3 linked regions of the Nothobranchius furzeri genome follow. The protein of the gene in region 3 interacts with the protein of the main gene of each other region in a pairwise test. Links are inferred from orthologs where the notes say so. Each region holds a gene or a part of one and is shown on either strand. Other genes may lie near its edges. The genes, in order: nelfcd, rras and araf.

Evidence for each region.
Region 1: the proteins of araf (region 3) and nelfcd interact in binary tests that used the Homo sapiens proteins (3 or more experiments, as listed by UniProt). The link is inferred for Nothobranchius furzeri from reciprocal best matches to the Homo sapiens genes ARAF and NELFCD.
Region 2: the proteins of araf (region 3) and rras interact in a two-hybrid assay, tested with the Homo sapiens proteins (2 studies listed by BioGRID). The link is inferred for Nothobranchius furzeri from reciprocal best matches to the Homo sapiens genes ARAF and RRAS.

The regions. Positions count from the first base shown.
Region 1 is NC_091743.1:48,868,821-48,872,474, forward strand, and holds part of nelfcd (negative elongation factor C/D), read right to left. Parts: intron 3,434-3,654; coding exon 3,268-3,433; intron 3,189-3,267; coding exon 3,054-3,188; intron 2,405-3,053; coding exon 2,265-2,404; intron 1-2,264. UniProt on the Homo sapiens protein: Essential component of the NELF complex, a complex that negatively regulates the elongation of transcription by RNA polymerase II.
Region 2 is NC_091758.1:14,005,330-14,008,983, forward strand, and holds part of rras (ras-related protein R-Ras), read left to right. Parts: intron 1-1,722; coding exon 1,723-1,831; intron 1,832-2,284; coding exon 2,285-2,403; intron 2,404-3,454; coding exon 3,455-3,542; 3' UTR 3,543-3,654. UniProt on the Homo sapiens protein: GTP-binding protein with GTPase activity, likely involved in the regulation of MAPK signaling pathway and thereby controlling multiple cellular processes. Regulates the organization of the actin cytoskeleton.
Region 3 is NC_091757.1:26,527,227-26,530,880, forward strand, and holds part of araf (serine/threonine-protein kinase A-Raf), read right to left. Parts: intron 2,022-3,654; coding exon 1,903-2,021; intron 1,365-1,902; coding exon 1,236-1,364; intron 1-1,235. UniProt on the Homo sapiens protein: Involved in the transduction of mitogenic signals from the cell membrane to the nucleus. May also regulate the TOR signaling cascade. Phosphorylates PFKFB2.

The sequences.
Region 1 (3,654 bases), on a different chromosome or scaffold from region 3:
ATATTTAGAGTGCCCAGGTAGCACATAAACAATGCAATTTAACAGTTTTCTTAAAGTAGGAACGTTTAACCTGTGCGGCCAGAGCGCTCTCCTTCCTTCTGCTCTGCGTAAACCTGAGCTGGTCACCTACTTGTGCGTAATCAAATGTCAATAGGGGACAAGATATAGCCATGATGTTCACTTTTACCTCAGACCGACTTATTGCTGTTTTATGGTGTGGCTGAATCTGCGATCCGCTGCCACGTGGACCAGAATAACAAATGCTGCATGAGTTCAGGTTCGGAGTCACTGGCTGGAGCGGACCCGACTTTAATACGTCATCCCAAAATAGAAGCTAATATCTTAATTTGACCTTGAATGAAAAATGTTATAAAACCTCTTAAAAGTTTTTATCACAGAGGAGGCAGCGCTCATTTCTGTCTTCAGTCTGACGGCGCGCCGGAGTTTGCGCGGCGTGCGTGCTTATTGAATCTCTGTGTGTGTGTGTGTGTGTGTGTGTGTGTGTGTGTGTGTGTGTGTGTGTGTGTGTGTGTGTGTGTGCGTGCGCAGGGCACAGCTCCATGAAGCTTGGTTTATGCTTGACGCATTCACTTTCCGCTTGGTGATGCGGCTGGCGGATGGAACGCGCTTCACAACTTGCAGAGTTTAAGTCACTGCGTCTCGTTATTGGTGCTATTTAAACTTCTGCCCAGCCCAGATGTGCTCACTTGTGCACCCGAGAGCCGCTGGAACGCATCTGATCTGACAGACACACTCTGAACTTCAGATCTTCAGCGCGCTTTTAGTAGCCTGGATGGGAATAATTTCTTGATTTATTTAGTTACATCCACAATGTTCTGTGTGTGAGGTTTACAATGTCAGAACACCTGCATGAGACAGGGTGTTAATTACAATCTGCCAGAATGACTCGCCACCTTCAGATTTCTCCAACACCGTTAAAAATGATCAAATACGGAACATATCGGCGTGCGCAGGCCAGAGTGCTGAAGCTCGGCGCATTGTTATTATGAAGTTAGGGCACATGTGGAGGACACACACGCAAAAATATACTTGTTTTCAATTAAATTTATTGTGCCCTCTTACTATTTCTTTGGCCCACCCACAAATGAGTTTCTGGCTACGTTAAAGGTGACATCTGACAGACTTCTCTGAGCTCCGCAGCCATTACACTTTTCACCTTGCGCACCCCCTAGTGGCAGCTCGCGCACCCCCGGGGGTGCGCGCACCACACTTTGGGAATCCCTGGTCTAACTCATAATTTCAGACACTGATACCAATATTTGCTGTGTCCCTCTGTCATAAAAAAATAAATAAAAATAAAACATTTTAGGTTGCCATCATCACATATCTCCAATGATTAAACTTTAAATATTTTCTGTGCAAAATGACAACTACTTCAATTTAAGTTATTCATAGGAAAAGTGACATATTGCATCTGAATCTCATTCTCCCTAAGTGTGACGCCAAGAAGTGTGCATTAGTTAGTAATAATGTGCTCTTACTTATTATGTTATTATATTGAAGCTATGGTGATAAAACATTTATAAAGATGTTCAGAAGAGAAAAGCAAACTTTGTGTGAAGATTTTAGTTTTTGTTTGTTTGCTGTAGCGTAGCCATGTGCTGTGAGGACAGCAGATCCCAACTACTACTCCACAAACAGAAAAAACTACAGTATCTTCAGATCTAGAGGTTGACTGTTATTTTTTTTCTATTACTGATATGTGTTAAAGTCAGACACCTAAATAAAGTTAATTTAGAGTATTTATTATGCAGAAGTTAATAGTGAACGTAAAAATACATTTAAATTAAATCCTGCAACAGCACCAGGCTGCCCAAGGATGTGCCTGACTTTAAATTGGCTTTATTAAAGGACAAATATCGGCCGATGCTGATGTATAAAAACCGGTAAACATCGGCTCGATACATCAGCCAACTGATATGTCGGTCTACCCCTACTCAGATCTGTCATATTTTGACATTTTGAGAGAATAGCTGAAGAGTTTGATGTATATGTGACCGATAATGTTGAACATCCCTACTCACAACAGTAGCATTTTTAGAAGAGCTTTTAGCATGTTTTAATCCGTATATCAATGCAAATCATTTTGAAAGCACTTAATATAACTTGAGTTACTGATATTGTATTATTGAAAAAAGCAACATATTCCTATAAGCCATTACTTTTGCAATACGTTACTTTCAACAGTGCCACTAAGCTGTAATCCATCATCCTTTACTCAACAGTGTTCCCTTTAGACCGACCTGATGCACTGGTACAAGGTGCTGAGTTCAGCCACCAGTTCTGTAGCTCCTTTGTTCTCATTGCAGCACAGGTTGTGAACGGTCTCTATGGCCTTGGAAGTTGATTTCAGCTCATCTTTATTGATGTTGACTCGCTTGTTCTGGTATTAAGACAGAGGGTTAAAACGTTAGGAAGACTGCAGTCTCAGGCCCTGTCCACATGTAGCCAGGGATCTGCCAAAACGTAGATATTTTTCTACGTTTTGGCCTGTCATCCACACGAAAACGGATCTTTTTAAAAACTCCGGCCAAAGTGAAGATCTGCGTTTTCTCCGTTTTGGGTGTCTGCGTGTGGACAGACAAAACCGGAGTTTTAAGGTCCGCAACGTCACTTTCCGCGACAAAAAATGCTGACATCACGTGTGCGAACTGTGCTTACACTAGCCGGCATCATGGATGCCCTCAAAGCTGTGCTCTGTCACTACCCGATCCATCAATTGTCCAAGCGCTTTCTGCTTGTTTGTTTTTGCAAGCGGAATTACTGCTCCTTGCGGAAGACCACAGACGAAGGACGAGGTTAAGAACGGGGTAAGTACTGCCGCCTACAGGTCTGGCATGTCCTTAACAACGTATTTATCCGGGTACGTGTGGACAGAGTTTGTTTTTAAAACGCGGTGGTGTGGATGCAAGTTTTTGGAGGGGCGGATATTCGTGTTTAAAAAACCCCGGCTACGTGTGGACTAGGCCTCAGTGGATCAAGATGACAAGTAAAACATGTGAATTCTGCACATTTCAAACATGTATCTGTACCTTTTTCCACGTCTCAACAACGCTGGCTGCGTAGCCTAAAATGTGGATGTATTTGTGCTTATGGTCCTGGTTGATTTTTGATCCAGGCTTGAAAAGAGACTGCATGAACAGGTCTAGAAAGGCAGGAACCCTGATCTAAAAGGCAGAAAACACCAATGTTTTAATTAAGAGCACCTTCACAAGGGATAAAACATGGGAAGGAGTTTATTCTCACCAGCTCTACAGGAGGCGGGTCCATGCTGCTGAACATCTTGAACAAAACTGTGATGTCGGCAGGATTCAGGGCTCCTTTGGACAACATGGCGCCCAGAGCCTGGCAGGCTCGAGGGTAGGCTGCTGCCGTACCAAGTGCGAGGGTGATCTGACTGGCATCATGACCCCTGGATTCAAACAGAAATCAGCGTTAATAGTGATACTGACATGTACTAAACGCACACACACAAAATCAAGCTGCTAGCACTTTCTTCTTTAACATGGACTGTAACTAGTTACTTTTCAGGGTTTCCCCCAGTGCTTTATAAGCCTGGCGGCACGAACGGCGCAACAAAACTAGAGCCCTCCATCAGCTGATACTGGTGAGAAAACTCCCAGTCTCACGGAG
Region 2 (3,654 bases), on a different chromosome or scaffold from region 3:
ACTTTACAACAGACACGACGCAGAGCGGCTCTCCGGCACAAACCCAACCACCAACACATGGACAAGGAGCTTATAAATGCTACTTGATTACAGTACTGATAACTTTAAAGTACTATTGATCCTAAAATATTGTAATAAATGGTGCACTTACCCATTTTAACCCTTTGATGCATGAATAATGAAATCTTCAACCACGATTTTTTAAACAATTTTTTTCATTCATATTTAGGTGTGAATGAAACAAATTTCAACAAATATCTTTTGTAAAATTTTGTTAATTTACAAATAGTTTATTACATGTCCAACTCAGGGGACAGCGTGCGTTCTGAACATGAAATGTGTTGGCTTGACTTGCTGAAGCACAAATGGAGGGGCTCACATGCAATAAAGTCTTCAACAGCTGTGCTTAATAGCAAAAATAAATAAATAACAATTTTGAGTACCTGTCCACTGTAGTGACCATTATGCACCAAAGGGTTAATGAATTAGTCTCACTAAACTTGACATTATGTCTGATCACGCATAAAGTGTCACTTTCCGCTTCCTGTTCTCAAGTCTCGCGTGATGTTGTGACTATCGCGATTTTCCAAGAAGCGTTCAGCGGCCTAGCGAGCCCGATGTGACCACTTGACCTCCCAAAACCGCGGCGCTTCCGTGGCGTAGCGTATCTGTCTCTGTGTGCCCCAGCTGCTTGTTCTGCAGCGTGCGTTACCATGGTGAATGGGTGGGGTTTCAGGCTAGCCACATTCATAAAACCCATTTAGGGGCGGGAATCTCAACAAAAGCCTGGTTTGGGAAAATCTTGCATTTTGGAATGCCCCCCCCCCCCCCCCCCCGGTTGATGTAAGCAAAAAGGTTCTGTCCCAGAAACAATCAGGTTCTCAAAGGTTCCAGGTCCACTCTTTCAGGGAGATGCTCCAACACATCTGATTTAAATACCAAGCATCTGCAGGAAGTGATAAACATGTGATCCAGGTGTGCTGGAGCAGGATGGGTGCCCTCTAGGACAGGTGTGCCACCTGCGGATTCCACCTGAGACATTTGAGGAGACGGTTTTTTTTCATTAGATTTGATTTAAATGTCATTTCAGCAAAAAATGCCAACTTGGTTTTCATTTTTCATGTTTTGTGGTTCTTCATCATCCCTACAGCAAACAGAGCTTGTTTTACCTTTGCTCACATGTTTTGGCGTCTACTGCCAGCCTTGTCAGCATAACCACCGATGTCTGTCTATCGCCTTCTGCGTCACGAATGGTCCAGCGTGTATACTCGTGGTCCTGGGTCCACTGGGGGGGGGGGGGGGGGGGGGGGGGGCAACACTGTAACACAGCAACTTTACAAAAGGAGAAAGAACAGCCGTGACATCCCTCGTCGTTATTCTACCAGCAGACAGGAAGAACAGTGATGATGGACAAAGACAAATATAATCAACAGGTGGATGCTCGAGGAATAAAACCCACACGAAACACCGAAAAAGATCCAACGGAAGACATGAAGACCAGCAGGGCCATGTCATCCTCCGCTGACCGCAGATAAACGGAAATGACGTCACCAACATCGGCGGTTGCTCTGACGAAGGTGGCAGTAGACGCAGAAACATGTTAGCAGAGGTAAAAACGATGGTGTGATGAAGAAGCACAAACGGTTAGATTGGATAGAAAACACAGAGCAAACGTAACGCCTTGTTCTTTTCTCAGTTTGAGCCTTTTGTGTCTTCCTGCAGTTACCACGAGGTCCAGAAGTTCCACACCCAGATCCTGAGAGTGAAGGACAGAGATGATTTCCCGATGGTTCTGGTGGGAAACAAGGTGGACCTGGAACAACAGAGAGTGGTGAGACCTCCTCTGGAAAACACTGACACATGTTCCACCTAGGGTTGTCACGGTAACCGGTGTGGCGGTAAACCCCGGTAAAAAAGTTGACAATAATAAATGCACACCTTCCGCTGCTGTTTCTCTCCTGTATCAGCTGATGGAGGGCTCTAGTTTCGTTGCGCCATTCGTGTCAGCAGACACGGTAGGGGCGGGGCATGACGCTTAGCCTGGCGGGCCAGCAGGCTTATAAAGCGTGTTATAAAGTTTTTATATCTAATAATGTTTCTTTATTTCTGACAGAGACCTCTCCTCTGTCCCGACCGTCTTTAAAACCTCCTTTCCTCAGTACTGCTGTCCCGGTTCGATGGCTGGGACAGACTTCCAGGCAGCAGGACCCCGTAAGGGTCAGAAACCACAGCAGTGAGAACCTGATAACTGGACTCACCTGGACCTGGTTGTGTCTGTCTGCAGATCTCCAGAGAGGACGCTCAGGCGTTCGCCTCGGAGAACAGGATCCACTACATGGAAGCTTCTGCCAAAAACCGCTACAACGTAGACGAGGTTTTCCTGGAGCTGGTGCAGATCATCAGGTACAGAACCTTCTAGACTCATGTCCATGTGTCAGAGCTTCTGCTGAAGAATCATCTGGATTTCCTTTGCTTTAGTCTAGTAATCACCTGAAGCACCATTAAAGCTTCTTTCCGGAGTATTTCTTATCCGATGGCACCATCTAGTGGCTGACAAGCATATCACACACAGTCTATTCCTCTGTTTTTTTAAGATGGCGACTTCATGTTTCTGTTTATAAATGTGCTTCTGTAGCCGACAAACAGCTAAAACACGTAGTTTTACGAGTATTACACTCATGTCATGTTGAGTTCTCATATATTTATATTTTAGAGACTTTCTTGTCTGTGAAAAGTTCATCAACTCTGCATCAGCCGAGGTATTCCTTAAACATGAAGCAAGTAAGCGGTGGTCTAACGCTATTGGTTAGTTCTGGTCGGGGCTCCGTTTCCTGTTGACGGGCAGAGTGCTTCTAGGATTAACTTTATCTCACCATCAGGACGGAGAAGCTTCTGGTGTGGCGTTAAACACGCCTCAGCTGTTGGTGTTGTCACTGTTCCTGGAGTCATGTGGTCACCGAGCAGACCGCTCTGTGGTTCTAACAGAACCCTGCTTTTATTTTATCGTCTCGAGGTAGAACGTTCCAAAACGTCACGAGTTGTTTCAGCTGAAGGCGACAAATCAGAGCAAACATCAGGCTCTGTATCCGGTGTTGTGGTGCCGTGACGTCACTGTAACACGATGGGATCTGTTGGCGTGGTGGTCACGTGTTGTTTAATCAGGACACATTCCTCCCAACCGAACCGCCCTGCGACCTGAACACCACCCTATCTGAGCCCACCACATCTGGAAGAAAGGTCCATGCCAACCCGCACACACCTGTATGAGTGGCTGTCCTGTTCTTCTGCAACAAAAGTGGAAAATGAGAACATAAAAGGGTTGGTGCTGGGTCAGGATGACCACAGCAGTGTTGGAAACACAATCCTGGGCTGGACCCAGATCAGAACCAGCAGCTCTGTACAATGCCAGAGTCCTGGAGGTCTTGGTGTTGATGGTTCCTCTTCTTGCTTTCAGACGGTTTAAGGAGTTGGAGAGCCCCCCTCCACCGACCCAGCAGACCAGGAAACCGAACCGAGGAGGCTGTCCCTGTGTCATCCTCTGAGCTCTGTTACCGTGGACCCCAGTGCATCGTCCTCCCGCAGCTTCTGCTCGTGTGTGTGTGTTCTTTTTGCCTAACTAGATCTTTTCTTCAGTGTTTAATGAGTGAGTGACGC
Region 3 (3,654 bases):
AAACACTAACTTAGGGTCATATTGTTTTGGTTTCATTAGTTTTTTTTGTTTTTGATGATTAGGTTGGACAGAAATTCAAGAGCGACGGCTGGTTTTCACCAGCTGAATTTTAGACAGAAAAGGGTAGAATGGCTTCTCCAGGTCAGGGACGAGGTGCTGCCTCAAGTCAAGGAGATTAAGTATCTCGGGGTCTTGTTCACAGGTGAGGGAAAGATGGAGTGTGAGAACGGCAGACGGACTGGTGCTGCGGGCGTTGTACCGGTCTGTTGTGGTGAAGAGAGAGCAGCGCCAGAAGGCGAAGCTCTCGATTTGCTAGTCGACCTACATTCCTACCCTCACCTATGGTCACGAGCTTTGGGTGGTGACCGAAAGAACGAGATGGCGGATACAAAATGAGTTTTCTCCACTGAGTGTCTGGGCTCTCCCTTAGAGAAAGACCCGCTGCTCCTCCACATCAAGAGGAGCCAGTTGAGGTGGCTCGGGCATCTGGTCCGGATGCCTCCCTGGTGAGGTTTTCCGGGCTCGTCCAACTGGAAGGAGAACTAAAGGAAGACCCAGGACACGCTGGAGGGACTGTTTTGCCTCTTGGTTGGCAAGGGAACATCTTGGGATTACCTCAGAGGATCTGGCCCGAGTGGCTGGGGAGAAGGAAGTCTGGGCCGCTGGCCCCACAACCCGACCCGGCTAAACGGAGGACAATGGATGGATGGATTTTTAGTCTGTTTATTTCTATGTAATAATTGGTATTGTCATTTTTGGGTTACTTTGGTGATATTGAAGGGTTTTCTGATAAATTCATGTCTGATGGTTTTCTCAGAGTTTTACTGCCTGACTGATGTTCCACTGAAGATGGGTTTATGAGAGAATGACACCAACAATGAAACCAGCTCTGAACCTGGACCAGTTCTGGTAGCAACTGGACTTTCTTTACCCAACATAGACGCCCTTATTTGCAGATCATAGCTGCGTTCCCACTAGTCGAATTCCAGGACACTTAAACACGATGGCTTCATCCTCACAGCTGTTGTGTCAGCGCATCTGGACCGTTTCAGCGGTGAGTGATGACACCGGTCAGCCCAAAAAGGTGATGTGAAGCTACAGACGTTAATAACATTTACATCGTTTATTTTTTTAAAGTACGCCACATTTTACGCAGTTCGGGGGACGACTTAGGAGAGCGGCTCTGTGACGTTGACTTCTACAGCGGTTGTAAAAGGACTGGAAGGAGGTCCGACCTGGTCCCTGTTGTTGATGTTGGAGTAAGGCAGGAATCCTGACATCAGCTCAAACAGCACCACTCCATAACCGTACACGTCTGACTGGAATGTGTACGGGTTGTCCTGCATCCGGATCACCTCTGGAGCCTGGGAGGAAACGCGGAAAACCTACGATTAGCTAATTCAATCATTAATACTCTCAGTAAATGTGGCTGAGGACGTAGTCTGAACAAAGCAGACGCTGGTGAAACTTACTAGCTACAAACACAAGAGAAATTACAGAAGTAACATGAAAGGAGAACCAACTGTAAACTGCCGAGACTGCAAACAGACCAATCAGTATGGAGCTGTAAAATCTCCTCCCAGCTAAATAACCACACCCTCCAGGGACCTAAACCAGGAAGTACAACGCTGTTGTTCAAATCCAGGTTCACTGAACTTAGGTGGGCATGGACAGAACGATCTGTCTTCTGTCAATTCGTTTTCAGGCTCTCTTGTTCTTTTCTTTATGCATTTCAAGGTTTTAATTCCATGTTGTCGTTCTTTTTCGACGGCGAAACTGTAGCGTCAATAATGGGTAACAAAACCGTTTCTGTGTTTTAAAAAAGAACGACAACATGGAGTTAGAAATGACGCACAGCAAGAACACACCTAAGATTTCAAGGGTTTGTTCATGAAAACTCACCATCCAGAGAATGGACCCACTGGGCTGCTCGACCTGATGAGAGCCACTCCAACGAGACTTCACCGTGGCCAAACCAAAGTCACCAATTTTAACAGTCCAGCCTTCATGGAGAAAGATGTCTGGCAGCAAAGCTTAGAAGACGGTTCCTCTGAGTTACACACCAAAACATCTGCACAGTGTGAGAGGGGCCGACCCATGGAGAACTTTAACCATCACCAAAACCTGACTTAGGTCAAAGGTGGGTTTCATACTCAGCTGTGTGCTGCTTCACTCGACTGATCAACAGTGGGAAGAGGGTTTGAACCCCCGCCGACTTAGGATAGCCCACTGAAGGAAAGGAAGGATCACTCTAGAAATAGTACGTCTATGTCAGGGGTCGGCAACCTGTTCCCATCAAAGAGCCATTATTACCCGTTTCCCACAGTAAAGAAAGCACTGGGAGCCACAGCAGCCGCGGCGTTGTGGGCGGGGCCTACCCTCAGACAGCAGAGAGCTGCTTTAACCAATCACAACAGGTGACAGCAGCCGGTACCGGTCGCTCGTGTACGTCAAAGTTATCTTTCATAAGAAGATAATCAATAAAACGATTTATATAAAGTGGATCCAGAAGTTGTAGCCCGTCTCTGCCGACAATATTTTGATTTTTTTCACCCTGTTGGTGGTTTTACTGAGCAGGTGCCACTTTTGTCATACGTTTCTTTTTAAAACATGTTTAGACTGTTCAGAATACAAATTCAGGCTCTGTCACGTTTGATTGTTGTAATTAAACTTTGTAGGTGGGGAAGGTCAGAAAAGGATCCGATCATTTTGTTTTTCCCTCATTTACAGTGACGGAGATAACGGCGCAGTGCGCCTGGCTCTGGTGTTAATCAAGTTTAATTTTATCTATTTTCACAAGAAAACAGAACAGTTAAAAGCAGGGCTTGTGTTGACCGGACAGTTCCCGTATTTAGCCGTTTATTTTGACGGAGAAAGAAAGAATTACCCCGACGCATGCAGACGAACTGACATTTTATTCTACGCACATCGCAGATGTAGCTAAATCACTCAAGAAAAGGGGGGGTCTACATAAAGGAATGGGGAAAAACCCATCCTGAGATGTGTGTAAACCTTGTGTCCAACTAAAGGACATTTGACCTCTGACATCAACAAAGCTAAAGCCCAAAGGGTCAAATCCTCGTTTCCTTCATAAAAAAGCCATGTGATGTGTCACCGTTTAGACATTTTTCAGGGTTTTTGTTCCTTCTCACTGTTCAAATAAACCAGCGACCTTTCTTTGTTAGCGGCCAAACTAGCAAAATCAGCAGGGGGTCAATTATTTTAATCCACCTGTTTAAAGGAACCATTCACACTGGTGGTCGTTGCCTTCAATCTGGGACTGAACTAGTAGTTGGACACTAAATCATTTCATCTGACTGCTCCGTAGGACCCAGAACTTAACCACAGAACATCGGACGCTGATGGATGATTGAGTTATAGTTTATGTGACCCGACTGACCCTCAACCACCAGTCAGAATCAGTCCAGCTGTTCAGATGTTTACACAGCAGCCGTGAGCACAGACAGGAAGTAGCATGAACAAGTGTTTGAGTTCTCCAAACAAACAACAATTATTGTTTACGACTAAGTGTTTGTAAATGACGTTTAGTTTGTTGAAGACGGACCGGTTCTGGTTTCAGTGTTTCCCCAAGAGGTTTGTCCAGCCGCGGTGCGGACTGGTGGGTGGGGGGTGCGAGCGCGGACTGTTTCGCTG